7 linked regions of the Coturnix japonica genome follow. The protein of the gene in region 2 purifies or fractionates together with the protein of the main gene of each other region. This does not show direct contact. Links are inferred from orthologs where the notes say so. Each region holds a gene or a part of one and is shown on either strand. Other genes may lie near its edges. The genes, in order: VAMP4, STX6, NSF, VTI1B, VAMP3, STX7 and STX12.

Region 1 (4,046 bases), about 990 kb from region 2:
GCTCCCCACATTAGTGTGCTCCATCCCACGCCGATGTGGCTGGCAAACAGCCCGTGTATGGAGATGGGGAGAGGGCTTGGGGGTCCCCATGCTGGGTCCTCGCAGTGGGTAGGCGCTATTCTAAGGGGCAAAGGCAGGTGGCCCAGGTGGGGGCACAGGCTGCAGGGTGTAGGGGAGGACAGAGGGACCCGATAGCGCGGGGAGGATGTAGGACTCGGGGCGCAGAGGATGCCCGCAGATTCCCACCCCCAGCACTGACCTTTGCTGGCGGAGCGCAGGGTGTCGCGGCCGGGCACCCCCCCCGTTCCGGAGGGACATTGCGCGGCCCTGAGCCGGGCGATCTCCCGGGCGCTGCTCTCCAGCCGCCGGCCCAGCTCCTCTTTCTCCCTCTCCAACCTGCCCTTCTCCTCCTCCAGCCGCTCCTTGGCCCGCTGCAGCTCTTCGCACCCCCCCGGGGCCGCTCGCTGGGGGCCCCGCGACCACACTCCGCTCACATCAGCGCCCCTCGGCCCCGAGCCCCCCATTCCCCCCACACCTCCCGCTCCCTCCAGGCGGCTCAGACGGGCGGTGAGCGCGGCCAGCTCGTCTCTCAGCTGCGCTACGGCACCGGCCTCGGGGCAGCTGGCCTCGCCGGGACTGGCCACCGTGAAGCTGTAGGTGCATCGCCCGCTGCCGTCGTTCTCTCTCCGCAGCAGAGCGGCGGGGTCCCCGCGGGCGCTGGGGGCGATGCCCCCCGCCAGCAGCAGCAGCGACAGCCAAGCGCCCGGCATGGTCCCTATCGGCACCCCGCTCTGCCGCCGCCTTTATAGGGCCGCGGGAACCTTCCAGACCGCCCGGCCCCCCCGTGCCGCCCGTTGGCAAAGCTCCGGCACCGCGGGGTGGCCCAGGCCAAACTATTCGCGGCCGCGGGCCAGGGCTGCGGCGGGAGGAGATGGACGGGACGGGCAGGAGGGGACCCCATGGGAACACGGGTGTCGTAACGGGGGACTCAGCGCCGCGACAGCCCGCAGCGCAGGGGGGGCTGCCCGCGGTGCTGCCCCAGAGCTGCCTTCCATCAGCTCGGGGCTGTACAGCTGCCAGGTACGGGGGTCCCATAGCACTTATGGGGGGGGGTGGATAAAGCAGGTGGAGCAGCGCCGGGACGTGGAAATTCCCCGCCGCAGACACCGGCTGCTCGTGGGCATCGCAGCCCCCGTCGGGCCGCCCGCCCATATACAGACCCCGCCCATACACAGACCCCGCCCACACACAGACCGCGGTGGATCGGGTGGATCGCTCGGCACTCGTTGGATCGCAGAGCGGCTCGATGGCTCTGCCCGGTTCCGGTGCTGGAGGCCATTTGCCGGCCCGGCCCGCTGCCCGCTGAGGGGCCGTGTCCGTCCTCCCGGTTCCGGTTCCCCGGCAGGGATCATGCCGCCCAAGTTCAAGCGGCACCTGAACGATGACGAGGTGACGGGCTCGGTGAAGAGCGAGCGGGTGAGTGCGGCCGGGCCGGGCCCGCTGTGCTGCAGCTCGGCCTGAGGGGCGGCAGGGCCGGCAAACACCGCTGGGTGCTGTGACAGCACACACAGCTCACAGGGTACAGCAGCACAGCTCCCGTACCTGGGAGGCAGCGCTGATGGTCTCCCATGAGGGCTCAGCACTGCCCTGTGCTCTGAAGGTGCTGGTGGTGTCCTAATGTCTGGGGTGTCATGTGAAGAGGCTGACACTGATGGTGTTTTGCTTTGTTCACAGAGGAACCTTTTGGAGGAGGATTCAGATGAAGAGGAGGACTTTTTCTTGTGAGTTTCTGAGCAGACACGGGGCGTGTGATGTTTGAACCGCCTGGAGCTCTAAGGCTGGGAGTGCTGATACCAAGAGCTGCTCCCTGCCCTATTGTGTACCTTTAGGTCTTTGATTTAAACACATGTTTTCATTGCATCTGCTATTGTAATTCCTGTCCTTTTCTGCTGCAGGAGGGGACCTTCCGGACCGAGGTTTGGACCCAGAAATGACAAGATCAGGCAGTAAGTTCGTGTTCCTCTGTATCGCTCACATAATATTTTATGCTGATGTTACAAGCTCCTGCTGCTCTGTTAGCAGACTATTTTTCTGTAGTTCTGATCAGTGGCTCGTGCTTTGTTTCATCTGATTGTAATTTCACAGCCCGTTAAGGAAAATCAAATTTGTTTCACGTTATCAAGGAGCTGTGCTTTAATAGCAGAAGAGGGGTAGAACTTTATCACAGTGTCATGGTGGAGTTTCCAAAGCCCGTGGTATATTTTAGTGATAATGAGGTAGAGGTGACCTGGAGATGAGCAGTCACTCAGTGGGGTCGAAGCAGCTGGAGAAACAGGAGCCCTGTACAGCTGGAGCAGGATCATTGGCTGTAACAGGGCGAGAAGAGGGAAGGAAGGGACACTGAGTCCTCCAAGTGAGTCATTTCCTGGGTGATGCTTATTCTAGGCTCTGATTAGCCCTGCTCCTTCCAATTAGAGAAGTGATGGTGACACTTAATGGGAAGGACGGGGTGCTCAGAGACCTCTGTGTTGAGTTGTGCTGTTGTATTTGCTGGCATCCACGAGGCAGAACAGAAGTCAGAGACCGATGACTGGACGTTAATCAGGCCGTATTGTTTTGTGTGCAGCCTTGGGGTTACTCTTCATTAGGAATGTTTTCTTCATGCCTTGAATCAGCCAGTGCATCTCTGAAATGAGTCATTGGGAGCTAGTGTCAAAGAGGCTCTTCTAGGTGAGACTTAACTAGGGACAATTCTGACTTTTCCAAGTCCATGGTGAAGTGATTTAATAATGGTATTTTAGGAGTTTGTGGAGTTGAATTGAAATTCCTGACCAAAGGAGGCAAAAGGATCTTTTCAGTCCAGAAAGCGAAGTTATTTAGGTCTAAGCAGGTTGGTTTGGCAGGGTTTGTTAGCGCAAACATGTGAGTAGGGGTTGTTGTGTTGTTGTTGTTTTCTTTATGTGGAAATGGGCAGCTAATAAAATCCATCTTGGCTCCTTCCGTTCATATTCTCTGCCCATAAAGTTCATTCATGGTCACTGGAGAGCAGCGTGACTGAGAGGCTGGTGGTGTCTTTGGGATCTTCTTTGGAATTTCTACACACTATTTAGTTTTCTGACCCTCTTTATTTAGTTTCTGACCTTCCTTGACTTTCTTTGGTCTTCTCTGAGCTGGACTTCAGTAAGGCTTTTGTCATCGTCCCCCATAACAGCCTCATAAACGGGTTGTTGTTGCTGTGGGATGGATGGGTGGACTGTGGGGCTGGGCCAGTTGACCTCCACAGCTCAGCCATTCTCTGGCTTAGTGACTCAGTGACAGCTGTAGGCAGTGCTGAGCTGTGTGCCTGCTCACTGCGTTATCTTGAGAGGCAAAGTGCATTTGAGTTATGCAGGAGGGTGGATTGGCTGCTGTGTCCTGTGTTTTCAGTGGGCCTGTGCTCTCTCTCGGGCATCAAGATGCTGCTGGTAGAGATGTTCAGGTTGTGGCAGGGAGGCAATGTGGATACAGCCTTCGTTGTGTGGTGCTGTACTGGTCTGAAGTGAGTGAGGATGACAGTTGTGAGTGGTGTCAGCTCTGTAAAGTATATGGGAGAGTTAATGCTGGCCTCTATCCTCCTCTGCTGGAGGGAAATTGCAGAGGGTCTTCCCTGTGCATAGCAGAGAGGGGCAGGAGCTCTTCCCTTCCCATGTGTTGGTGAGACAGAAGGGCCATGGGGGCTTGCAGGGAGCTGAAGGAGAGCACTGCAGCTGTGAACAGGAAGAAAAAAGAAAGAATTCACCAAGGAGCTGTTGGGTTTATAGCTGGACACCAGTCATATCATGACATATACAGGGGCGCAAGGCTGCTTGTCTGGTGAAACAGGAGCAATTTGAGTGTTGGGAGAGCTGAGGCTTAGCTGGGCAAAGCCAGAGAGACTGGAGCAGTGTGTTGCTGGAGGGAACAAAGTGTGAAGATGTGTGTAAAATGAAACTGGTAAAATGGGCAAAGGAAAAAGTAACGGGATCACGGGAGCAATGGTGGAGAACATGGTGAATGTAATGGGCGAG
Region 2 (3,500 bases):
CTGTTGTTGAGCTTGCTGCTCCTCAATGAAGTGTGAATTTGCTAATTGCAGCTCCCGGTCCAAACGGCTGTATTTGTCAGGTCCAGAGCTCCAGTTCTGACTGCTGCTTTCACCCAGGAGTGCCTAAACAGATGCAGAAGTCCCTTAGCAACACCTCTGTGTCTGCTCACAGCTGGTCTCAGGGAAGGAGGACAAGGCAACGCTCCTGTACACGTGCCTACAGCATCTTTCTCCTCCCTCTCTACTGCTGCTCAGCCAGAGTGCCGGCACAAACTAAAACAATGCAATGCCAAATGCCAGCATGGGAAATATCTGCATGATTATTGCACAAAAACTTCTCCACCGACAGGAGAGCTGGAGCACGACTGACAGACAGTGCAAGCAGGAGGCCTGCTCCACCCGAAGGACTAGTAAAGGTCTGTTCAAGATGCAGCACTGTGTGCTAGGAGGACGCTGGAAGTATCCAGATACGTCATGTTAACAGATGTATAGATGGAACTGAACACCGTGCTGCTAATGACCAGGGCTGAAAGTCTGGATAAAGTACTTAACCAGATGATCTGACAGTAAAACAGTGAATATAAACACAGCAGTGTTGAAGGCGGGACTTACATTCTATGATTCAGGTTACCTGTTATGCTGCAAGTATGCCATACTGCAAGATTACAGTCTCTACCTGCTCTACGACCTCAACAGAGAAGCTAGTGCAAATCCTGCAGAGAAGTGGCTTTCCAGCTGAGGACATCTGGTCCCTGGAAGGAAGTTCTGATGCAGCTTCCCGAGGGAAGTCTGTGTTTGCCAGCCTTAGTCCATGAGGATCAGGTAACTGTTAGCTGAAAGCCGGCCTCTCAGACACAGAGACATGCTGGAGAAGCTGCTGTAGCCCAGCTCAGCTAAGGCTCTGCGGACTTAAGGGAAGGCGAGGGGTTGGGGAGGGAAGATGTCAAGGGGAAATGAGTTTTCCTGACCAGATGTCACCACACAAGCTGGGCCATATGGTCTCCTGCAGCTTGCAGTTTTAAGTAAAGCAGCAAAACTTAGAGAGAGCTACAGGCTTGTTTGAGCAAGACAGGAAGGGACTTTGCTTCTCCAAGTTTTTGCCAAGCACGTCAGTTAAGCCTGTAACAGGCTGACAAACCAACTCTGTGCTTCTCAGTATCTTCTTGCAGCTTATCATTTTTGCCACAAGTGATAAAGAATGATGCAGCCAGATAGGGCATGGCAGCTCTAACAGAGGCAGCTCTGGAAGTCAGCTCAAAGATCTCCTTACAGTCTCACTAGCCAGGGAGAAGCAAAAGCTGCATCTATTTCTATTCCTTAGATTACAAAAGCAGACAACCTGAGACTCCTTGAGCTTCTTCCATCTTCTTACAAGGTTAATTATCATGTGAGGCAGCTATTTGTGAAGGGATGTGGCATCCTGGCTCCTAAATACAGCAGAGCACAGGATTACATTTACAGAATTGGATTCTGTTTCCTCATGAGGTGGAGGGAGATTCCCCCTTCTGCAGGGTGATGCAATGCTGATGGCTGTACCCAAGCATTTCTGAAGATGGAGACAGATGGTGAGTGGTGACTTACTGCTCTGAGTGACAGGTTTGAAAGAGGGTGGCAGCAACGAGCCTGACAGAACCCATGCTCTCAGATCAGTGAGACAGACATGGCTCAAACACACAGCTTTGCTGCAGCGTGCAAGCCCCTTCCCAGAACAAATGTTTGTAAGGTGATGTGCTACAAAATGGGATATATATGGTACTTACAGCTTTAAAGGAGCTTTAACCATGCTAGATGCTCTGCCTTATGGTGCGGGTGTCCAAACTAAGTGATACGAAAGCTTCACCTAACACGTCTCAAAACAGCTGTTAAAACTGATAAATCCTTCGAGCTCTTTAAAGTACCAAATAACCACTGCGTTCACTTAGCTTGCCCACTTCTGATTCTCACCTGCCTGTTTTTTCTTTCAGCCAGTGCTTGCATGGAGGAATTTGACATCTGATCCTTCATTTCCTGTTTGTTCAAAGAAAGAAGAAGGACGTAAGCATTGGATTTGAGGTGACTTTCAGCTTCAGTTTGCTACCAAGTTGTCTATACCCAGAAAGATTTCTTTGTGGGGAGGGAGGGAAGGGTCTGTGGAAAAAATGCTCTTAAAAGCTCCACTGCAATTCATTGCTATTCAATACTAGAATCAACAGCAATGGGATATTTTGAAAATATCCCTTACTTACTACTCATTTTTATAGAATCAGATAATCATTTGGGTTGGAAGGGACCTTTATAGGTCATTAAGTCCCACTACCCTGCAGTGAAGAGGGACATCTACAGCTAGATTAAACTGCTCAGCCAGAAACACTTTGATTTGTATAATACCAGCTTAATGTTCCCAGTGACAGACGGTAAAGAAGATACGTTCTTGAAGGTCTTGGGAGCCCGTAGCCTGCATTTCATTCCCAGTTGTATCTGATTTAATCTTGCAAAGGACAAGATAGATTTCCTGTCCTGTGGCCCTCCTCTCTGACTGTCTCTCCTACAGAAGACAGCCACAGGAGGCTCCTACTTCCAGTGCAAACCAGTTCAGTTTCTATAGGGCAGATATGCAAGAAGCCAATATGATCCAGCAGGTGCTGATTCACTTTACCCACCAGCAGAGTTCTGATGTCACCAGAAGACACGTAGGTATGTTTTACTGCTCAGAGATGTATCACTTACAAGCAGCAGATCCCACCTGGTTACTTTTAATGCACAAGCTGCTTTCTATCACAAACTCTCTCCATGGAAAACCTAAGTCAAATAACTGCATGCTGGGGCTGCTGGGGCTTCAGGATCAGTTCCCAGGCAGCGAGCCTTAAGAACTGCCTCTGGACTGCAGGTAGGATGACAAGCTTGCTGCTAGCCACAGCAATGCAGCTTGTCAAGGAGGAACATCTGAGCCATGAGGGAAAGCAGAAATTAAGCTGCACTGAGCGTAGCAATTAATAGAGAGAAAACTTCCTAACCAGTGTGTAAGCAGACAGTGAAGATTTCAGAGAGACTTTTATTCTCTATTTATTACCACCGAGCTGTTAAAATATTCTTCCTGCTTCTGAATCCTCTCTAACAGCTATGTGAATAAATGCTGCTGCTCTTGCAGGTGCTACTGAACTTGAGTTTAATGCTGGCTGTAGCACTGAGTTGTGTGAAGCTGCGGCCCAACAAGCAGAGCTTTGCCAGGCCCACCTTTCTGTGAAGTACTGATATTTAAGAGTGTGAGCTTAAAGTCAGGCAGTCCTCGGTGGGAACATGTGATGTGGGGATGAGGAGGCAGCCTGAGGACAGGCAGGTAGGAGACTTACTCTCTGCTCTCCTGTTCAGCACTGACCTAGTCACCCTACTGGCTTTTTTTAACCACTCAAGCTGCCTTCTCTTTCCCCATCCTTGCTTCTTACCCTGACCACCTGCCGCGTGCTGGTGATGAAGGATTTTCTGATACCCAGCTCCGTGGCATCCAGGTTGAACTTCCGAGG
Region 3 (3,500 bases), on a different chromosome or scaffold from region 2:
GCATTTAACAAAACATAACTTCAAAAGAAGATCAGTCAGCAAAACACAAAACATTGATTTCCAAAATCAATATCCAAAAGAGATTTGGATATCGCATGCTGTGCATTAGATCCCTTCCCAATAACATCTTGCTGTCCTTCAAAATGGGTTGGCTGGTACATACAACCAACCCAAGTGGGATGGCTGCACTCAGTGCTGGAAATATTGGATGGATGTACCCAATGCGAGAAACATCCCAGGTCAAGCTTGCCATGTCACTTTATTCTCCATGTTTCAAGGAGTCAACTTGTTCAGTGCCAATCAGAACAGAACTGTTTATTTCCAGGTTCACCAAAGGTGAAGCAGATGCAGCTGGTCACAGAACAGGATACTTTTTCTTGTGACCATGTTATGAAGTTTTCCCCTTCAAATTCCACCTCTAAAACATCTATTGTGGTCAGTGGGGACCACGTTAATACCAGGTGAATGTGCTGTCCCTGGCAATCTGCTCAGACACCAGTCATTACAATACCAACCTTTTGGAGACCTTTCTAATCTCACTACTTGTCATCAGGACCATCCCCCATTTTAGCAGGTGTGTTATTGCAAAGGAAAGAAGCTCACAGCTTCCAGTCACACTGCAACAACCAGAGAGAAGGAGGCTGTTTACATCTGTGTGGGCTCCCATGTAAAGCTGGCTTATTGATTAATTAATCTTGTGCAGAATAAAGCCATGTCAAGCACCATCACAATCTGCAGTGCTGTCATAAACAACAGCAGAAGATACAGCACCCTTGGCTGATGTCTTCTGAAAAGACCTTCCTATATTTAACTCCGACTTACCTGATGTCTTATTTCCTTTATCAGAAACTCTTATGAAAATAAAGTGATATGAAGAGTTACCACAGCACAAAGGAAAAAAGGTTTTTACAGCTTCAAACTAAATACTGGGCTTTTTGTAACCAGCTGAAGTAATGGACAAAAGCAACAAATCTGGGAAAAACAATCTTTGCCTCCAATTACACTTCGGGAGATCCATGCTCTCTAGCTTTGAGATAGAGAGTTCTTGTCCATTAGTACCATAACTAATGATCCATAACTGTACTTCTCCATTAGTTTTCTGCTGAGGAAAAATCAATGGTCTATAATGTAGATTTATGTACTCATAAGCCTGTAACTCAAAAACTTGAAGTCATGAAAACTTATTTGAAATCCATCCTATTTTATGTGTCTTAACTCCAACTGGACTGTCTCCAAACTAAAACAAGAAAAAAGCGAAAAAGAAATGGAGCAAAATGTTTACAAACCTATTTTTAAGCACTTTCTGAACAGCTGACACACCGTGTAATATAAAACACAGCAGGATGGGCACTAATGAATTACCTTAAAATGAAAGTTAAACAAACTGTTCACTTGCAGCACAGCTACCTGGAAGACCAGCTACCTTCTTCACTTCTATAATATTCTTTTTGCTTTGAGTCAACACCAAGTGAATCTGTAGAACACTAATATTCAGTGACTTGCAAGGAATAACTATAATCACAAGTGAAGCTGTGACTCAGTCTTTTAATGCAAGCAGCAATTTTCTGATTACAAACTTCCTTTCCAGGCATTCTTTAGGCACATTCATCCTGACCATGCTATTTATCCATGTTTGCATTACCCTTCTTTGTTCCTCTTCTGCATCAGCAAACAGCTTGCGGATGTTGGCCTCAGACTCGCCCACGTATTTATTGAGGATTTCTGGCCCGTTGACCACTTTTGGTTCTCTGGCATTCAGCATCTTGCCAATCTGTCTGGCCATAAGAGTTTTACCACAGCCTGGAGGTCCATATAGCAGAATGCCTTTTACGTGCTTGCAGCCTGGAAGAAGAGAGAACATGATTAAAAACAGGGCTGCATAGGAAAGAGCCAGGGAAGTGGGGGCACCATCCCTGGAGGTGTTCAAGAACCATGGAGATGCGGAACTGAAGGACACAGTCAGCGGGTATGGTGAGCATGGGCTGGGGCTGGACTTGGTGATATTGGAGATCTTCTCCAAAATAATGCTTCTGTGATTTCTCATTTCCCCTACAGGGATACATAACACAAATCAGGACAACCTTCCCTTACAGGAAGGTTTATCTGAGTTTAATTTTCATATATAAAGAGAAATGAAGCATCCTTCAAAACCCTGATGACTGCCAACATTACCCAACTGAAGCTCAGCTCCCAGTGTAGGTGTAGACAGTGGAGATTGCTGCTTCTTGAATCAGAAATCATGGACTATTAGGTAATAATGTTTAACTTTCTATCCCTACATTGAGCTTTAATGAGTCTAGTTCTGAATACAAGTTTTTAGGACAAATATGGAAGAAGGCACAAAAGATAAGGCTGGATGGAGCCCTGGGCAACTTGACCTGCAACACACACAAGAGTGCAGAGAACTTCTGAGTTTCACATGTCAATGTGAAAGCAAGAAAGTTTACCCTTGGATTCACAGAATTTTAGATAAACAGCATGTAACTCTCAGCTGTGATTTATCAACAATTTCAATAACCTTATGCTGGAATATTTTATACTCTGCCTTAATAAGAAAAGTCACAGTACTAACACATACTACAAAGTTAGTGAGGAAGTAGAAGAGAGGAAACATATAAGTTATTTTGCCTAGATCCTGTGTTTCCAGCAGATCTGTTTTTTATTTTCCATTCTGTTTTGAAGACAAAGAACAACAACTCGTGCCACAGTCACTCCCACTCACCAGCCCTACAGGACACCCCAAGGAAAAAGACCAGGAATAAGCTGCATCCACTGCAGCCTATGAGAAAACAGCACATCTGGACTGTGCCCAGAGCAGCTTTCATCAGCACAAGCCTCCACTTTGAACACAAGTGGTGAATTGGAGGGTACAGAGTCCTGTACCACCCTCTCCTTTAGTCTTGGTCCTTCCAATACTGGTAGATTTGAAAATAAAAAACTGTTTTACTTCAAGAATATTAGATTTACCTGAAACCTTAGAAAACCTGAAGTACTCTAATGCATTTAGAGAACAAGCACTTTTCTCACCAGTGCTCAATTGCGACTTAATTTCATTCACTCTTTAATGTTTCAGTGATGAACTCACACTTCAACATGAAAAACAGCTCAATACAGAACACTTTCTAATATCAGCACACACTGCTCTCTCTCTTTCAGGCTGTTAGTGTATCGAAGTTTAAAGAGAACATCACTATGAGGAGCTTCTCATCCCCACCACAATCTTAAACAGAGATAGTGATCCATTGGTTAAGTACAGTAATAAACTCAGAGATTTCTCCATGGAAAAGGAAGGGTAAAGAACGAAAAGGAAGAGAAAATCCTGCAGAAAAAGCAAGAGGTCTGGTTAAGAAGAATCCATCAGTCAACTTTCAGGCATCTACGAGTCAAGAAACACAAACACATACTGTCAGTGAAGAACCAGTTCTGCACAGGAATGAATGGGGCTCAGATAAATTAAAAGCTATTCCTGTCAAATCAATGTCACAAGAGGTATTGTGAGC
Region 4 (4,115 bases), on a different chromosome or scaffold from region 2:
TCATAATCACAGAAGCTTTAAATACAGTTTCTATCAGATGCTCACACTCTGTTCATTTTCTGTGGAAAAGATTCCGTATTTCATATCCCCTTGACTTCCAGGGCCCAGTCCCAAATCTGTGCTTCTCATCTCCCTCTGGAACATGGAGAGGTCCCTTCTGTATGCCCGGATTTTGCTCATCATTTGATTGCGGAATGGTAGAGGAGCATACTTCAGTTCTTCTTCCATTTCCCGGAGCTTAAAGAAAAGAACACTTATTTTAAAGCATCACATTCATTCTTATAAACAGCTGTACCCAGAACTTACACTAGATGAAGGGATTCACATATTATGTTCACATAAGAACATTAAAGTAAAACTTGGGATACTGTCCTTTCTAGGGCAATCAACATATTAAGTGGCCAGAAAGGCCACAATTCCAGGCTTAAACTTACCGTTTCATTTGCTTCACGCTGCTTCTCATCAAACTCCCGAATCAGCTTTTTCTTCTCCTCTGCACAAGAAAGAGCAACACGTGAGATAAACCCCAACAAAACTAAAGCAGAACTTGAAATCCTGATTTCCAGCAAATCGGGTTTTTGCATCCTAGCAGTTCACTAAAAACAACCACTCAAATAAGACAAGCACCCTGCAGAGCTCTGAGATGGAAGACACCATCAATACACCAGATCAGGTTGTCCAAATACTTCTCTTTTCTGGAACCACACTGGATGTTAGATCAAAACACCTAAAACCAGCTCATCTTATGGATGTGCCGTGGCCACACCAGGGCCCTTCCCTTTCAGTTCAAATCCCCATTAAGCCCCTGAGTTTGACTTGTAGTGCACTTAAGATAGATAAGTTTAAACATAAGTTTAGCGCTGCAGGAAATGCTGATTTATGGGGTTCCTACATTGACTATCCTCAGCTCCTCCCCTGCTTTTCTGCCACGTACATTTGTGCTGATTCAACTGCTTGAACAGCCAGGCTGCTAGCAAGGACACGGGCACACACAGCAAGGAAACAACTTTCTAAAGTCACCATTCTGCTCACGCAGGACACTCCACTCCTTTGGTGAATGTAGTGCCCTCTTAGAACAACTGCTGCTGTCTCGAACCCATTGAAACCCGAAGCAGTGCTGAAAAAGCAGTATTTTACCCTCTTTGGGTGCCCACAATTGGATCAGTACAGCACTGCACTTCAGCCACAGAAACATTACCCACATGTTTCTCAGCATCTGTGAGATCTCATTTAAACCAACCGAAAAACAATCAGTTGAAAAAGGCAGTTAACTGTTTACTCAGAGAATGGGATCTATAGCAGAAACTGATCAATGCCATTTAAAATGCTTTCTTATAGGTTTGGAAGGAAGAAAACACTTGCTTCCAGACCTGAGAATTTATTAGCTTGTAAGATAACATTTCCACATGGAAGATGGTCCAACAATGACACATTTTGTCCTCCCTGCAGTCTGGGAAGTTACCAATCATCTCAAAGGAGTACACAGGACACCATCTGTTGTCCCACAGACTTTTCATGACAGTGTGAAAAATGAAGACCCATGTGGGCATGGACAGCAAAGAATGCCTTACAAATGCCTTCAAAAGAGAGATAAATTCCTGACTTCACATGAACTCCCTTGTTATACTTCCTTGGGAATATCACAGATCTGGGGACCTGGCAATAGTTTACTTTTGTCCACAAAACTGACAACCCTCCTTTCTGCAAGGAAATTTCTGTTCTTTGAAATTCAAGCGTTGTGGGGCATTTTTCAATATGTGTGAGCACGGTCTCTCCCCATTCTTTCCCCAGCAACAGGGTTGAGTTTGTATTTCAAGGCAGCAAAATAACCCTCACCCTACCCTGCAACCTCCTCCCATTAATTGTATAGAAACGATGCCCAGATTCCAGGGCCCTTCTTCACAAAGGGGCATCCCTTCCTTTATGCTTTTCCTTCTTGGTGACTGTCAATAAAACAAAGGCAGCTTTGAATCACAGAACTGCAGGGTTTGGAAAGGACCCCAGGGGATCACCCTGTCCAACCCACTGTTAAAGCCAGTTCCCTGCAGGTCACCAAGGAAAGCATCCAGGAGGGTCCTGAATATCACTGGAGGAGACTCCACAGCTTCTGTGAGCAGCCTGCTCTGCCTTCTGGCCTTGAAAGCTGCGGCCCATAGTTTTAAGTGCCTCCCACTGTACTTTCTGGAAACGAATAGGATGGTGACCCTGCATTTAACCCGGTATTAGACTGAACCGGGCAGCCCGGACACCGCACCCCTCACACCCAGCCGGTGCTTCCCCGCCTCCGCGCCCACTTCCCGTTCTCCGCTACGCCACAGCCGAGCGCTGTGCGCCGGGAGCGGAGCCAAACGAGCCCCTCGGCTCGGGCAGCGCCGGGCCGGACCGCGGGGCCTCGCCGCGCTGCGGGAGAAACCTCCGCGAACCCGACGAAAGCGCCGAGCCGGATCCGCCCCGCCTCACCCGCCGCGCCGCCCCGCAGCCGCTCCGGCACGGCGCGCAGCTCCCCGTGCAGCCCGCGGAAGATCTCGTGCAGCCGCTCCAGGTGCTCGGAGGACGCGGGGCCGCGCTCCGCCATGGCGATGGGCCGTACGGGGCACTGCCCGGCGCCGCTTCCGCCATCGGCCGCGAGGACCCGCGCCTGCGCAATGAGACGCCCCGCGCTGCCTGACCGCGGCACCGGGGCAGCCCAGGCGGAGCGGGGTCCTGGCGGCGCGCTGCCCGCTGGGAGCCGTAGTCGCAGCGCCGCCTCGTGGTGCTCCGCCCCGCCCCGCCCTGCACCGCCCATTGCTCCCATTGGGGCGGGGCGGCTCCTCCGGGCGCGATCAGTGCGGGGCGGACGCGGCGCGGATGGAGCCGTCGGCGATGCTGAGCTGCTGGGGCGCGGTGCTGGGCGCCGCCGTGTCCGTGCCCCTCGTGCTGCTGGCGGCGGCGCCCTACGTCAGGTGCGGGGCTGTGGGGCGCCTCGGGGGGCTCCGTGCCGCCGGGCTAAGCGGCTCCTTTCTGGGGGTTGGAGACATACAAAGGGCTTTCGGGCAGCGCTGTTACGGCGGTGTGCGGTTGGCGGCAGCCGGCTCGAGCCGCTCCCGCGGGGGGTCCGGCTCAGCCGAGCACGGGGCGGTGGGAGCCGGTGGCCCGGGTTCGCCCCACGGCGCCGCGCCGACTCCATTGGCCGCCGCGCCGGGAGCCGCGCTGTCAGCCAATGGCAGCCGTGGCCCCACCGGAGCGGGCGGAGCGGGCGGAGCGGGGTGTCGCGGTGCCCGGTCCGATGTCGGGCTCGGAGCCGCCGTCGAGTCCCGCCGCTCTCTTGCAGGCGGTACGTGGCCGGAGGGCGCTGCGGGTCCGCGGCCAGGCTGGACGGGAAGGTGGCGGTGATCACGGGCGCCAACACCGGCATCGGCAAAGAGACCGCCAGGGAGCTCGCCCGGAGAGGCAAGTCGGCGTCACGCTGCGAGCGGGTGCGGCTGATGCGATCCGGCACCACGCGTCGTGGTCTGCAGCCTGGGGCCGTGTTTCTAAGAGCCACATTCTGAAGGTCCTTCAGACAGGGCTGTAACCCCTGAGGTGCAGTTCCCCAGTTCCCAGCTGCATTCACTGCTTGAACCCTGACCCCGTGTCTCAGCGTGTAGAAATACTCAGCGCTGTGGCCACCTCGGGAGGACCAAGGAAGTGCCTGGAGTCACAGGGCTCTACCTTGTTTGGGGATGGGAAATGGCTCAGATCCGCTCATGGTTCAAAACTGGCTTAAATGTTTTTTGGTAACTAGCAGGGCAGTGAAAGTACCCAGCAATGGCTCTGGCTGGAGTCCAAGCAACCCTGCGTGTGTAGGCCCTAGTGCTCCCATACAGCCACAAATACAACCTGGTCATACCAGGGCTGCAGTGCACTCACCTCACCTGGGAGAAGCTGGACAGAGGCACTTCAGATGTGCAATCTCCCTGTCATAAAACAGGTCTGAGCTGGCTTGGAGCTAACAATCTACAACAAGAGTTGTTGTGCTTGTCAGCTGCTCCCCTGGACTGAAGTCAGTTCCATAGGACACAATACATTGCAAGTGCCAAGTTGTCCTGTCCATACAGAGTGTGACATCTGCTTGTGTTCTTTTTCCTCCTTGCAGG
Region 5 (4,296 bases), on a different chromosome or scaffold from region 2:
TCAATATTGCCCACATCTGTGAAGAAAAAGCCACTCGTCACATAATGTAACAGCAGCGTTTAATAGCCGTCAGAGTGCAGGACAGCAGCCCTTGCAAAGCACTTTCACTCGGTGTGGTAGACCTTTCTGTTGTCTTTGTTGCTCACCAATGAGGATTCCAACCTCTGCTGACAGCTACAAGGATACCCAGTGAGCTCATTCCGCTTGCTTACACATTAATATATATATTTTTGGCCTATTCCTCTTGTACCCCAAAGCCTCAGATTATTGCAGCATTTCCCTCTGGCCATTGCTGCTCACACAAGGCCTTGTATCAAGCAGCATTGCTGGTCATCTATTTGATTACTTCACCTCACCACTGCAGTGCTTTAAAACTAGATGCTATAGAAATGAACGCTGCCTGAAGTCCCTTTTCCCGCTGCCTTTTGAGATGCTGACTGTAATACTGTTCACTGTGATAGTGAATACTCTAAGTGTATATATGCCACGGTTACCTTACAGTTCTTCCACCAATACTTTCTCTTCAGCTTGGCCGCACTGGTCTCAAACTGGGAAGCTCCTGCTTGCAGCGCATCAGCACGGTCATCCAGCTCCGACAGCTTCTGATCTCTTTCCAGCACCTTGTCCACATTCACCCTCATGATGTCAACAACCTACATCGGTAAGTTATCAGCTTTATTAATCAGTATCAAATCCATTTGCAGGGAACAAATGTTCTCATCTAAGGAGCAGGAACTTGCATTTTAGGGTATCCAAACATAAGCCTGAACATTACCTGCAGCTGGAAGGCCCTAGTGTCTATTTCTCAGTCTCAGTACAGTCACTGTGCTTATATTCCCCTGAACCTGGGATGTAACTCCTGACTGGCACCAGAATGACTTGAGGCATTCAAGCACAACAGTCAACCATACGTCAAAAAACAGCGTTGGCAGCTAAACTGGCTCTTGGCCTCCTCAGGAATCAGGACATGTCTTATTTAGAGGTAAAACTTCTTTGCTAATGAAGAGAAGCAAGCTTGTTCTGTGTCAAAGCAAAGCTTGTTGTCTTCCCAAAGCAGCAAGCTGGAATGAATTAATGGATTATTATTTTTCTGAACCTTTCCAAGAGTTAAGGTGATAGATACAACAAAGAAAGATGAATTGTAAAAGGTTTCACCTTCATATCAAACAACAGCGACTTTAGCTGGTATATCTATACTAGATACCCGATTTTTTAAGGGAATGAATGACACTTATCTAACCAGATTTTTACCTCATCTACTTGATGCTGAGTTTGCTGAAGCCGACGGTTGCTACCAGCAGGCACATTTGTGTTTCCGGGGACGTTGGCTGACCTGCAGTAAAGAAAGCCATTGGGATCCTCTTAGTTTCTCTTAGAGATTTTGCTTTCAAGTTGACATGCTTACAACACACAACTTATCTGACCTTCCTGGAAGCAGGAAACTTTGAATCCTGGAATAATCTTAGAGAAGTTTAATTTCCTTTTGGGAAAGTGATGTTTTAGCAGCTGGCTATAGGTCTAAGTCAAAGTGCATCCTCAATCTCTTGCTAGTGAATGGACTGATGTACTGAAAGTCACAATTAGCTAATACAATAGTCTCTATTAAGGCATATGGCAACTCCTGTAGTGCTCAGAAGGGGCTCAGGTTCTCAGGCACAAGCTCAGTAGTGTTCAGTTTTTCAGTAACAAACTCTACGCCAATAACCAAAGTACAGGAACTTTCATGGTTGTTCTGTGTCCTTGCACAGAGCAGTTGTCTGAAACAGTTGATATTGAGCAAGAGAAAGCACAAGGAAAATGCATTTGGCATAAAGAACAGTTAACCTGCAGTCAGCTCTGAGCTCCTAACCCCAGGCAGTCCCATTCTTGTTACCCAGTACAACACTGTGCATTACTGCAATCAGTGCAGGAGTCTGTACGCATTTCTCATGTTCTGTCCACAGCTTTAGTGACTTTCTGTTGTACAGCTCCACAACTCCAGCAGCTTTTCCGTATTTTCCTCTTTTCTGCAGCAGAAGTTCGTGCTGTTCAGTGCAACCTGACACCCAGAGGGTTCAACCTGAGCATTGTTTATTGTAGCACGAGATTTGGGCACTAAATTCAAACCTACATTTTAAGGAAGTAGACGCACACAGCGACCCACACCCAGTGCCCCGTGATAACAAGACAGGGCTCAATAGTAGTAGTTCAGATTTGATGTAATAACCACTCCTGTGCTCACACCTCTGTGCTGTTTTACTGCTGCCAATATTTAGGAAGCGCTTTCTGAGGCTCCACACAGAACGCACACAAGAAATTGGCCTCCAAAGCCGCCCCTCGTTCCTTTGCCCACGTCGGCAGCGCTTCCAGAAAAGCCTTCAGTGAAGTTGCCGAGGCCGCCGACATTGTCCCGGGGAGCCGGGCAGGATAACGCCCCCCCGCCGCCTCCAGCGGCAGCCAAGGGCCGTGGCCGCCTCCAGCTCGGGGTGCGCGGCCCAAGCGGAGCCCGCTCGGCCTCTCCCGGCTGGAAGCGCGGCCGCCCCGGGAGCCTCCACCCACGGGCGGTTCCCGGCCGACATCAGCGGCCCGAGCCGTAACGAGCCGTAACGAGCCGCCCGCTGCTCCTGCTCCGCTCGTCCGGCCGCGGCCGGGCCGCCCCGCCGCCCATCGGGGCCGCTCCCCGCCCGCAGCTCCGTACTCACATCGCGCCGCCGACACGGAGCCGCTGCGCACCCGGAGCGCTCGGAAGGACCGACAGGAAGCGGCAGCTGCCCCGCGGAGCCCGGATGTGACGAAGGGAGGGCGGGGCTGTGGGAGGAGCAGGCCGCGGGATGGGCCCATGGCGGCGCTACGTCCCTTATGTCCCGTGTAAAAACAGTCAGACGCTTCGTATGGGGAAATTTTCTTTGTTTTTAATTTACAGCAGAAAGAATATAAAGCATTCAGAAAACATTTTCCATATTTTAAGGGCAATTCAAAACATTTTGCATGGTTCCAGCAGCTGAGTTCTTCAACAGATCCATTGATTCAGTGATGCTTTACATGCACGGTTACAAAAATAAAACTTACAAAAGAGAAGACATCTATACTAGTTTGACATGCAAGTCTTGGGGACCCCCCATTGGGCACCAGCTATTGTGTGGAACTGCCATAAGCGTGCAACCAGAGAGGGGGTTCATGTTATATTCTGCATTTCGATCACACAGTATTTCTGCTGTCAGACGCGATTCACAAAGGAGCGATTCCGTGACCAGACAGGAGGGTTCAGGAGGTTTTGGCTCCTGGCACTTGGGAACCTGAACTTTCCTGGGAAGCTGCACTTAGTTTGTCTGCTGTGAAAACACAAGTCCCACAATGGAGAGAAGGGTGAGCGGATCACTTCACTTCAGCGGGAGTCTGTGACCCCCCGCGATGCACTGAAGGGTTGTGACCCGACACAACAAAGCACTTGGAAGCTGCGCTTGGCTTCAAGCAGGCGAGCAGCTCTGAGCACACAGAACTGCTGGCGTGTCGAACACCAAGCCCACGCTTAAACGTTTTGCTGAAGCAGGATCTGGGTTAGTAGATACACCACCAGGCCCATGGATCTGGAAGAGTAATGTGAAATAGCTCTGTATGTTACTGAACTGTTTTTCTGAATACAGGGAGTTCAACATTTGCACTGAGGTCACTACTCTCGTTAGAAAAGAGATCGATTCGTGGAGCAACATTCCAATCTCAGGATATCAGGGTTCCTCCAGTATTAATACAGAGCATTTCCTATTCATTCCAAAGGAGATTCTTCTGCACTTCTATTTTTGCGTGTGAGGACAATTGAACAGGTAAAGTCCCGATTCCATACGGCAATTAGAGGCTATGAGCTGCCCAAAGCCACAGCATGAGAACCAGCATTTCTTACTTTTTTTTTTTAATCTTTTTTTTTTTTTTTTTTAATTGAATCAGGTCATAAAGCAGCAATTCAGAAATGTACAATAATTCTGGTAATGAGCTATAGCACACGTCTACTGTAATTCAATGCTGGCAGTGAAAAGAAGTAATTAAAAACAGGTACAATTATAGAAAAGGCACCAAGAGCACTGACCCCAGGTTTGTTTTTGTGTTTGTTTTTTTGCCACAATCTTTGTTTTTACTCTTCTTTTAAAGACACCAGTTTAAAAGCTTCTTATGTGAGAGTGTTTTTATGGCTTCACGTGAAGCCTCCATTTAAACATTGCAGTTGGTGGCCGGGATCGAGCCAGAACGATTCTTCCAATAGGAACAATCCCAAAGTGACATCAGTCCGTTCAGAGATCTGCAACTGCCGCTCGCAAAACAGAC
Region 6 (3,500 bases), on a different chromosome or scaffold from region 2:
TCTAAAATGAGCAAAGCAGAATGAATGAGGGAAATAGTGCTCAAGCATAAGAAATGAGCAGGGACAAAGCTCTCCACATGTATTGTACATAAACACTGGAAATGTACTTTGAACTGCAACCAGAAGTGGGCGCACATCCCTTTCAAATCCTTAAAATCTGTTAGGAAGATAGCTACTCTAACTTTCGAGTCTTTTTATTTTTACTTTTTTGAGGAAGATGCCAAGGAAGGAATGGCTATATCAGGCACATCAGAAAGCCTCAGTTTTATTTCCCTAAATATATCCATTATACCAACCCTGCCTTCCAAATTTGTGAGAGGCCATAACTTGCCATTCATCAACCCAACATCTGTGTATTTCATCTAGTGCTGTGTTTGATGAAAATGCTCATGATAAAAGGATTAGAATTAAACAGCAAAATATCCCACTGCCAACTTTTCAGCAACAAGACAAAGAATAAAAAACATCTTTGCCTCAACCAGAGGTTATATAGTAAGACCAAACTCTAACTCTACCAGAAGTTCACAACAGGCAGAGCATGCATGGAACACAGCCTGCCATTGGAAATGAGTGTTTCAGGACAATTCATTTTCCTAAGCGCTCCTTGCTAACAAGTCACAGATCAGAAAAATTGTCTGAGTGGCAATAAGCTGTGTTCATATTTTCTGGCGTCCTATTGCTCTTCCCTTATCTAAGTCCTGGATTTTGTTACTATAAGAAATCAAAGGATGAAAGTTGAGAGCATGCTAATGACAACAGCTACTTTGCATGTAAGCTCCTGCCTGTCTTTCTCACAGATATGGGAATGAAGCAGCTCAGAGGCTGCACAAATCGTTCTAGTAACAGCTCTTGTCCATCCCTCTTAAGAAAAGAAAAGCCTGTGGACAAGACATAGCATATCTGCTCATTTGAGTTATGCAGATCAGACTTGCTCTGCAAAAATTATTTGGACATTGTGCAAACAGATCTGATCACCTGCCACATGGTTAAGGTAGGCAGTAATTCCTGACCACTGGAAGCACTCAAAACTGATGAGTTAAACTCAGCAGCAACACTGCTACAGTTTACTGAGTGCCCAGATAGCTGAAATCACAGGCACAATGTACTGTCTTGAGTCCTGCCTTCTCAGTCAAACTCAATTCGGATATTTAAAAACATATTTGAAACAAGTCTGGAATACAGCAAAACATACTGTGTTGTAATTGCCCCTACTATGCAAATGTCCTCAGTGACCAAACAGTGCTTTGAAAGCCAGATGAAGGATACAAAAACTGGGCATGCAGAACTGAAGTCTCTCAAATACTCTATATGAGCCAACATGATAATCAAACTTTAAGCCATATTCTTTGGTTTTATACCTGTTCACTTGTTGCAGGCAAAGATCCAAACTCTTTAATGTATTTGTCAGTTTCTTTGGCAAGCTGGTTTGTGTACTGCTGTTTCTGTTGCCTAAAAACAATGCAAAGTTTCATTAGAGACCGCTGGCTAATTTTGTTGGAGTTTTACCAGTTCTCAGAAACACAGTGGTATTAAACACTCACTGAACTGCATGATGCCATCCTTCTACTGTTCTTCAGTGCAAAATCATAACAGATCACCGTGGATTCCAGGTGACATGGACACTGAGGGAATGTTTCTCAGTGTGACAGCACAGCTACTTACCTTTCCCACTTTTTTCTTTTTGCAATATTGTAATTGTTTCCCTAATGCACAGCAACAGGGTTCCAATTACTGTGAATAACTAAAGATGCTTTTCCATCATCTTTTTCAGGCTCTTATTTTGTTAAAGAAGTTCAGAATAACTGTATAAAGGACACAGTTTTTTCCTGTATGGAAGAACACTGGACCTGAATATAACTCCATGAACATAATCCATGAAAAGCCAATTCCTGATAGTCATTGGGAAGCATACCCAGAGATTTGTATTCTCCCATGACACAACAGCTGTGAACTTAACAGGAAAGTTTAATTAATTGCTTAAAAACTTAAATTGTGCTTTAAAAAGCCTTGTGTTCAGCATCATTTCTACTTGCACTTTATGTTTCTTTTCACTTCTGCTATTACCACACACTTTCATTATGAATTTCACTTTTTTTTTTTTTTTTTTTTTTTTTTTTTTTTTTTTCCTGGAGTAACTCAAGTTTTTTTTACCTGCTTTCCCAGACTGGAAAGCAGTTCGCAAAAATCAACATAAATACTTGAAAGCAATCAAATAACTCTCCCAGACAACTTCATTACATGAAGGGAAGGGCAAAACGTTCAGACCAGTGAAATGACCATAGATGAAAACCTCAAGGAAACTTATCATGTTAGCACTTTCCTAAATGGACTATAATTCACAGCAGTTTCTAGTCCTTTTAGTTTTGAAATTATGCTTAGATCTTGCCTGCTACTGCATAACTCACATATGTTGATCTTTATGCATTCGATCTCCAGCAGGACATCCACTGTGGGTTGTACCTGGCTATTGTTATGAGCTCCAAGCTCAGGTTATTATGAAGCAAGCTGGTTGTTCACACAATATGATATATACATATCATATACATATATATACATATATGATACAATATAATGCCTTTGGTTCAATACATATTTCCTCCTGCTACTCATTTTCTTTTTATTCCAACTATATGCAGCAATAGCCACAGTAATGATTGGCAACTTTCCCATCCATAGGGTTAGCACAACACAATGGTTATTTGCTTTTATGCTGCTGAATTTTATCTGGTAAAGGAGGCTGATTTAAAAAAGAAAATAATAATATTACTGGTTCATCAGACTGCGCTGAGAAGTGGAGAGATACTGAACAACAACATTGCTTTTTAGTCTTGTTGCTTTCCCTTAGCTAACATACAGCAAAAATTTTGTACATATATTGATACTGTAGGCAACGCATGCGTTCATGCCACCTGACCAGTGCACCAAAAGTATTCAAAATTAAATAAGAATAAAAAAAGGCACCTCAACGTGTAAATTTCAAATATTTCCCTATACCTGCCTTTCTCAGTGAGGACAAGCACCTTGCCTAAGAAAAAACCAAACAACCCATATCTAATCATATCCCTGGAAACTGTCTGCAATGCAATGAAATTAAATATTTTCATGTGAAATACTCACAGCTGTTGCCTCAACTCATGTGTGTCTTGTGGTGTTCCAAGCTGACTGAGTATTCTCTGTATTTCAGCAGCTGTTTGTGAAGAGGAAGAAGAGAAAGTTTAATAGTGCGCAGACATTTCCAACATAAGTTTATGATTTTTAGCTTAGCAATTCTAAAACAATAAAAATTGACAGAAAATGATATTGAACATATATATATATATATATATAAACTTTTTATTTTTTATATCAACTGAGAAGATTCACTGAAACATTAAAGAACAATTTGTAAATATTTTTGCCAACTTAAAGACAAAACCCAGGGTTTCTTACAAAGGATGGGAATATATTCAAGTATCTAAGCAGAAACAGACAATTAAAAGGCTAGCATTTTAATTCAGTAA
Region 7 (2,638 bases), on a different chromosome or scaffold from region 2:
ACATCTCGGCCTCACACAGCACCACTCCGGCCCGAGCCGCCCCCATTGGGCCCCGCAGCGCCGAGCCGGGCTCCCTCCGGCCCACACCCCCGACCCAACGCTGCCCCGCTCCCCTCGGCCCGCTCAGGCTCGGCCAGGCTCCATCCCCCCGGCCGTGAGGCGCCGCAGCCCCGCGCTTCGTCCCGCCCCAGCGCCACTCCCCCGGCTCGGCCCGACCCGGCCGGGCAGCCGCTCTCGTCCCTCTGCGAGCCCCGCAGCAGCGCAGAGCCGTGCGGCCGCGGCCCGCTCACCAGCTGGGACACTCGAAGAGCGAGAGGCCGCCTCCTCCTCCGGCCGAGTTCGCGTTGGCCGCCATCTTGCATCTGCCCCATTCAGGCGGGGGGCGGTCCCGGCGTGCTCCGCGCCGAGAGGGGCGGGAACGAGCTTCTCCACAGAGCGGGGCTTAGAGGAACCTGATTCTATCGCTGTTTAATCTTGCAAAATAAAGAAGCTCCGACAAAGGCCTTTAAAAGTGTTTATTGATAGTTATTAGATGGAATGATGGCGTAAGTAGTGCAAACCAATGTGCAATTTATTGGGAGAACACCCCTCCCCCTTCCCAGCTTTCACATGTATTTTATTACGCAGGAGACGTGGAATAAAGGGTTAGATACAAAATGGGTCAGTATGATGCATTTACCACACGATACCGGACAGACTGCTGATCCCTCAGTGCGTGTCAGTTCAGGGCTACAAAGTGGGGAGCTCAGCTTTGTGTTTTAGTGCTTTGAGAACCAAAAATGGAAGAGATTTATTCATCCAATGATAAACCATCAGCTCATTTCTTCAATGACATTGCACTGCTAGATTGGGTGTCCTTAGACTTACAGGACTTACAGTACTCAACCGGTGCATTAAAATAAACCAAAACAACCCCAACCATGCACAAAAATTAATAAAAGCAATGAGTCTCAAGGCTAAAGTGACCGGTTCCTGAGCACACTTGTTCCATCTATCACCCATGCATACTTCTTGCTTTTCAGATCTGCAGTGGCATCTTTTCAATCAAATTTAGAACCACAGCCACCCAGAGACTAATAAAACCATGGGGCAGATACCAGAGACTTGAGAAACTGCTGGATTAAGGTAATGAAAGTTAGTGTTGTGCCCTCTTTGAATGTCGTTCTTATTCCAGTCCAACAAAGTTATCTGTACATATAAAAAGTTCAATGTCTGCCACTTGTCAAGTGAAACAAGACATCTCCAATTATCGATCACACTTCAGCATACAGTCGGGACAGGGAATAATACATTACAGAAAGCAAAACCACGAGATGTTAGTTACATAAAACAATATAATTTGTATATAAACTGATAAATACTGTCTCCATGGTTCACTAATTCCAAATACTAGTTGTCTGCACATTAGTTGCTAATAACTATTACTAGAAGTAGTTCCAGCTTGTGCTCTCTCAGGGTGGTTTCATTTCCAAAACTAGTCTGCCTTTTCGTGCTGGGGGAAAATATTCTCAGCAATGAGACAAGAATCCATGTGAAGATTTCACCCTCTTGCCCACCAGATAATTAATCCTACGAGTATAGAAGCCACAGCAAGACCAAGAATCAGGATGCAGATCTTCTTACGGGATTTCTTCTAAAGAAAGAAGAAGAAAAAGCCACTGATACCATGAGCAGATGAGGAAGAAAAAGCAAGTTTGGCAGCTTGTGTTGCTAAGTATGGTGAACCAGAGCACTCAATACCTGTCATTATTCAAGGGAAGTACCAAGTACGCAATTTCACAAGGTCTTTAAACAGCATATGCCACAACTGAAGGTTTAGTTTTAGGTCTAAGAAATCCAATTAAGTCAAAGCTAGCAGAATTTGTTACATTTTAAGGCAAATTCAAGGCTTTACTTCAAGATAACTACAAATAGGGAAGCCGACACCACCTAATATACATTTCATGCAAAGGTCTGCCACCAAGGCTGCAAAGGAAAGCTAAACCTCTCCAACTATCTGGATTTTCCAGGTAAAACAAATGAAAACAATCCCTCCTGTAGTTTGATGCAGAGATAGTACTGCATTTCTACAGCTTAAATGATGTAGCATACAGTTACTGTACTTGATTGTACATTTACAATAATACAAGCATACATAATTTACCTGATAATAGGCAGCTCTCTGTAACTGCTCACTGGCTCTTTCCACATGAACTTCTGCACTTTCCACATTTGCCTCTATGCTATCTGTGGAAAAAAACAGAGAACTTGTAAAACAATTCAGACTTCTGGTGCTTAAAATAAAATAAATACAACATTTTTTGTACAAAATATCAGAAAAATTGAACTACACAGAAAGAAAGTGCAGCTGAACTAGAAAAGAAGCTCCTTATCCAAACACACTTACCAATCATATCTCCTTGGTCATGAATCATCATGGCTAAATCCTTAAATATCTGATTGACATCCAAAATGTCGGCCTGAAGACAAGTTTGACAAGTTATACAAAACACTGGTTACAGTTCTTTTGCAGCCTAATTCTTAGTGCCTCTTCAGAACACACCACTAGAAATAACTGAATAGATGCCATCACTCACTGACTCAGGTGACTTGATGTTGCTATTGATGGAACTTGGGATTAACATAAGAGCTTGCAATA

What was found.
Region 1: the proteins of STX6 (region 2) and VAMP4 purify together in Homo sapiens (co-immunoprecipitation; 5 studies listed by BioGRID and IntAct, counting the BioPlex papers as one, with this or other methods). This does not show direct contact. The link is inferred for Coturnix japonica from reciprocal best matches to the Homo sapiens genes STX6 and VAMP4.
Region 3: the proteins of STX6 (region 2) and NSF purify together in Homo sapiens (affinity purification with mass spectrometry; 3 studies listed by BioGRID and IntAct, with this or other methods). This does not show direct contact. The link is inferred for Coturnix japonica from reciprocal best matches to the Homo sapiens genes STX6 and NSF.
Region 4: the proteins of STX6 (region 2) and VTI1B purify together in Homo sapiens (affinity purification with mass spectrometry; 3 studies listed by BioGRID and IntAct, counting the BioPlex papers as one, with this or other methods). This does not show direct contact. The link is inferred for Coturnix japonica from reciprocal best matches to the Homo sapiens genes STX6 and VTI1B.
Region 5: the proteins of STX6 (region 2) and VAMP3 purify together in Homo sapiens (affinity purification with mass spectrometry; 5 studies listed by BioGRID and IntAct, counting the BioPlex papers as one, with this or other methods). This does not show direct contact. The link is inferred for Coturnix japonica from reciprocal best matches to the Homo sapiens genes STX6 and VAMP3.
Region 6: the proteins of STX6 (region 2) and STX7 purify together in Homo sapiens (affinity purification with mass spectrometry; 3 studies listed by BioGRID and IntAct, counting the BioPlex papers as one, with this or other methods). This does not show direct contact. The link is inferred for Coturnix japonica from reciprocal best matches to the Homo sapiens genes STX6 and STX7.
Region 7: the proteins of STX6 (region 2) and STX12 purify together in Homo sapiens (affinity purification with mass spectrometry; 4 studies listed by BioGRID and IntAct, counting the BioPlex papers as one, with this or other methods). This does not show direct contact. The link is inferred for Coturnix japonica from reciprocal best matches to the Homo sapiens genes STX6 and STX12.

What each region holds. Positions count from the first base shown.
Region 1 is NC_029523.1:6,871,390-6,875,435, forward strand, and holds the start of VAMP4 (vesicle-associated membrane protein 4), read left to right. Parts: upstream 1-1,246; 5' UTR 1,247-1,410; coding exon 1,411-1,476; intron 1,477-1,734; coding exon 1,735-1,781; intron 1,782-1,955; coding exon 1,956-2,006; intron 2,007-4,046. Other genes in the region: MYOC (myocilin), read right to left, coding at 260-770. UniProt on the Homo sapiens protein: Involved in the pathway that functions to remove an inhibitor (probably synaptotagmin-4) of calcium-triggered exocytosis during the maturation of secretory granules.
Region 2 is NC_029523.1:5,884,356-5,887,855, forward strand, and holds part of STX6 (syntaxin-6), read right to left. Parts: coding exon 3,423-3,500; intron 2,008-3,422; coding exon 1,945-2,007; intron 124-1,944; coding exon 1-123. UniProt on the Homo sapiens protein: SNARE promoting movement of transport vesicles to target membranes. Targets endosomes to the trans-Golgi network, and may therefore function in retrograde trafficking.
Region 3 is NC_029542.1:656,256-659,755, forward strand, and holds part of NSF (vesicle-fusing ATPase), read right to left. Parts: intron 1,843-3,500; coding exon 1,643-1,842; intron 1-1,642.
Region 4 is NC_029520.1:27,588,912-27,593,026, reverse strand, and holds the start of VTI1B (vesicle transport through interaction with t-SNAREs homolog 1B), read right to left. Parts: upstream 2,801-4,115; 5' UTR 2,795-2,800; coding exon 2,461-2,794; intron 494-2,460; coding exon 435-493; intron 238-434; coding exon 46-237; intron 1-45. Other genes in the region: retinol dehydrogenase 12, read left to right, coding at 2,848-2,942, 3,311-3,429, 4,115-4,115. UniProt on the Homo sapiens protein: V-SNARE that mediates vesicle transport pathways through interactions with t-SNAREs on the target membrane. These interactions are proposed to mediate aspects of the specificity of vesicle trafficking and to promote fusion of the lipid bilayers.
Region 5 is NC_029536.1:234,708-239,003, forward strand, and holds the start of VAMP3 (vesicle-associated membrane protein 3), read right to left. Parts: upstream 2,801-4,296; 5' UTR 2,684-2,800; coding exon 2,682-2,683; intron 1,334-2,681; coding exon 1,252-1,333; intron 654-1,251; coding exon 495-653; intron 17-494; coding exon 1-16. UniProt on the Homo sapiens protein: SNARE involved in vesicular transport from the late endosomes to the trans-Golgi network.
Region 6 is NC_029518.1:51,543,053-51,546,552, reverse strand, and holds part of STX7 (syntaxin-7), read right to left. Parts: intron 3,188-3,500; coding exon 3,118-3,187; intron 1,450-3,117; coding exon 1,359-1,449; intron 1-1,358. UniProt on the Homo sapiens protein: May be involved in protein trafficking from the plasma membrane to the early endosome (EE) as well as in homotypic fusion of endocytic organelles. Mediates the endocytic trafficking from early endosomes to late endosomes and lysosomes.
Region 7 is NC_029538.1:1,338,156-1,340,793, reverse strand, and holds the end of STX12 (syntaxin-12), read right to left. Parts: intron 2,460-2,638; coding exon 2,387-2,459; intron 2,227-2,386; coding exon 2,144-2,226; intron 1,634-2,143; coding exon 1,541-1,633; 3' UTR 501-1,540; downstream 1-500. Other genes in the region: PPP1R8 (nuclear inhibitor of protein phosphatase 1), read right to left, coding at 291-355. UniProt on the Homo sapiens protein: SNARE promoting fusion of transport vesicles with target membranes. Together with SNARE STX6, promotes movement of vesicles from endosomes to the cell membrane, and may therefore function in the endocytic recycling pathway.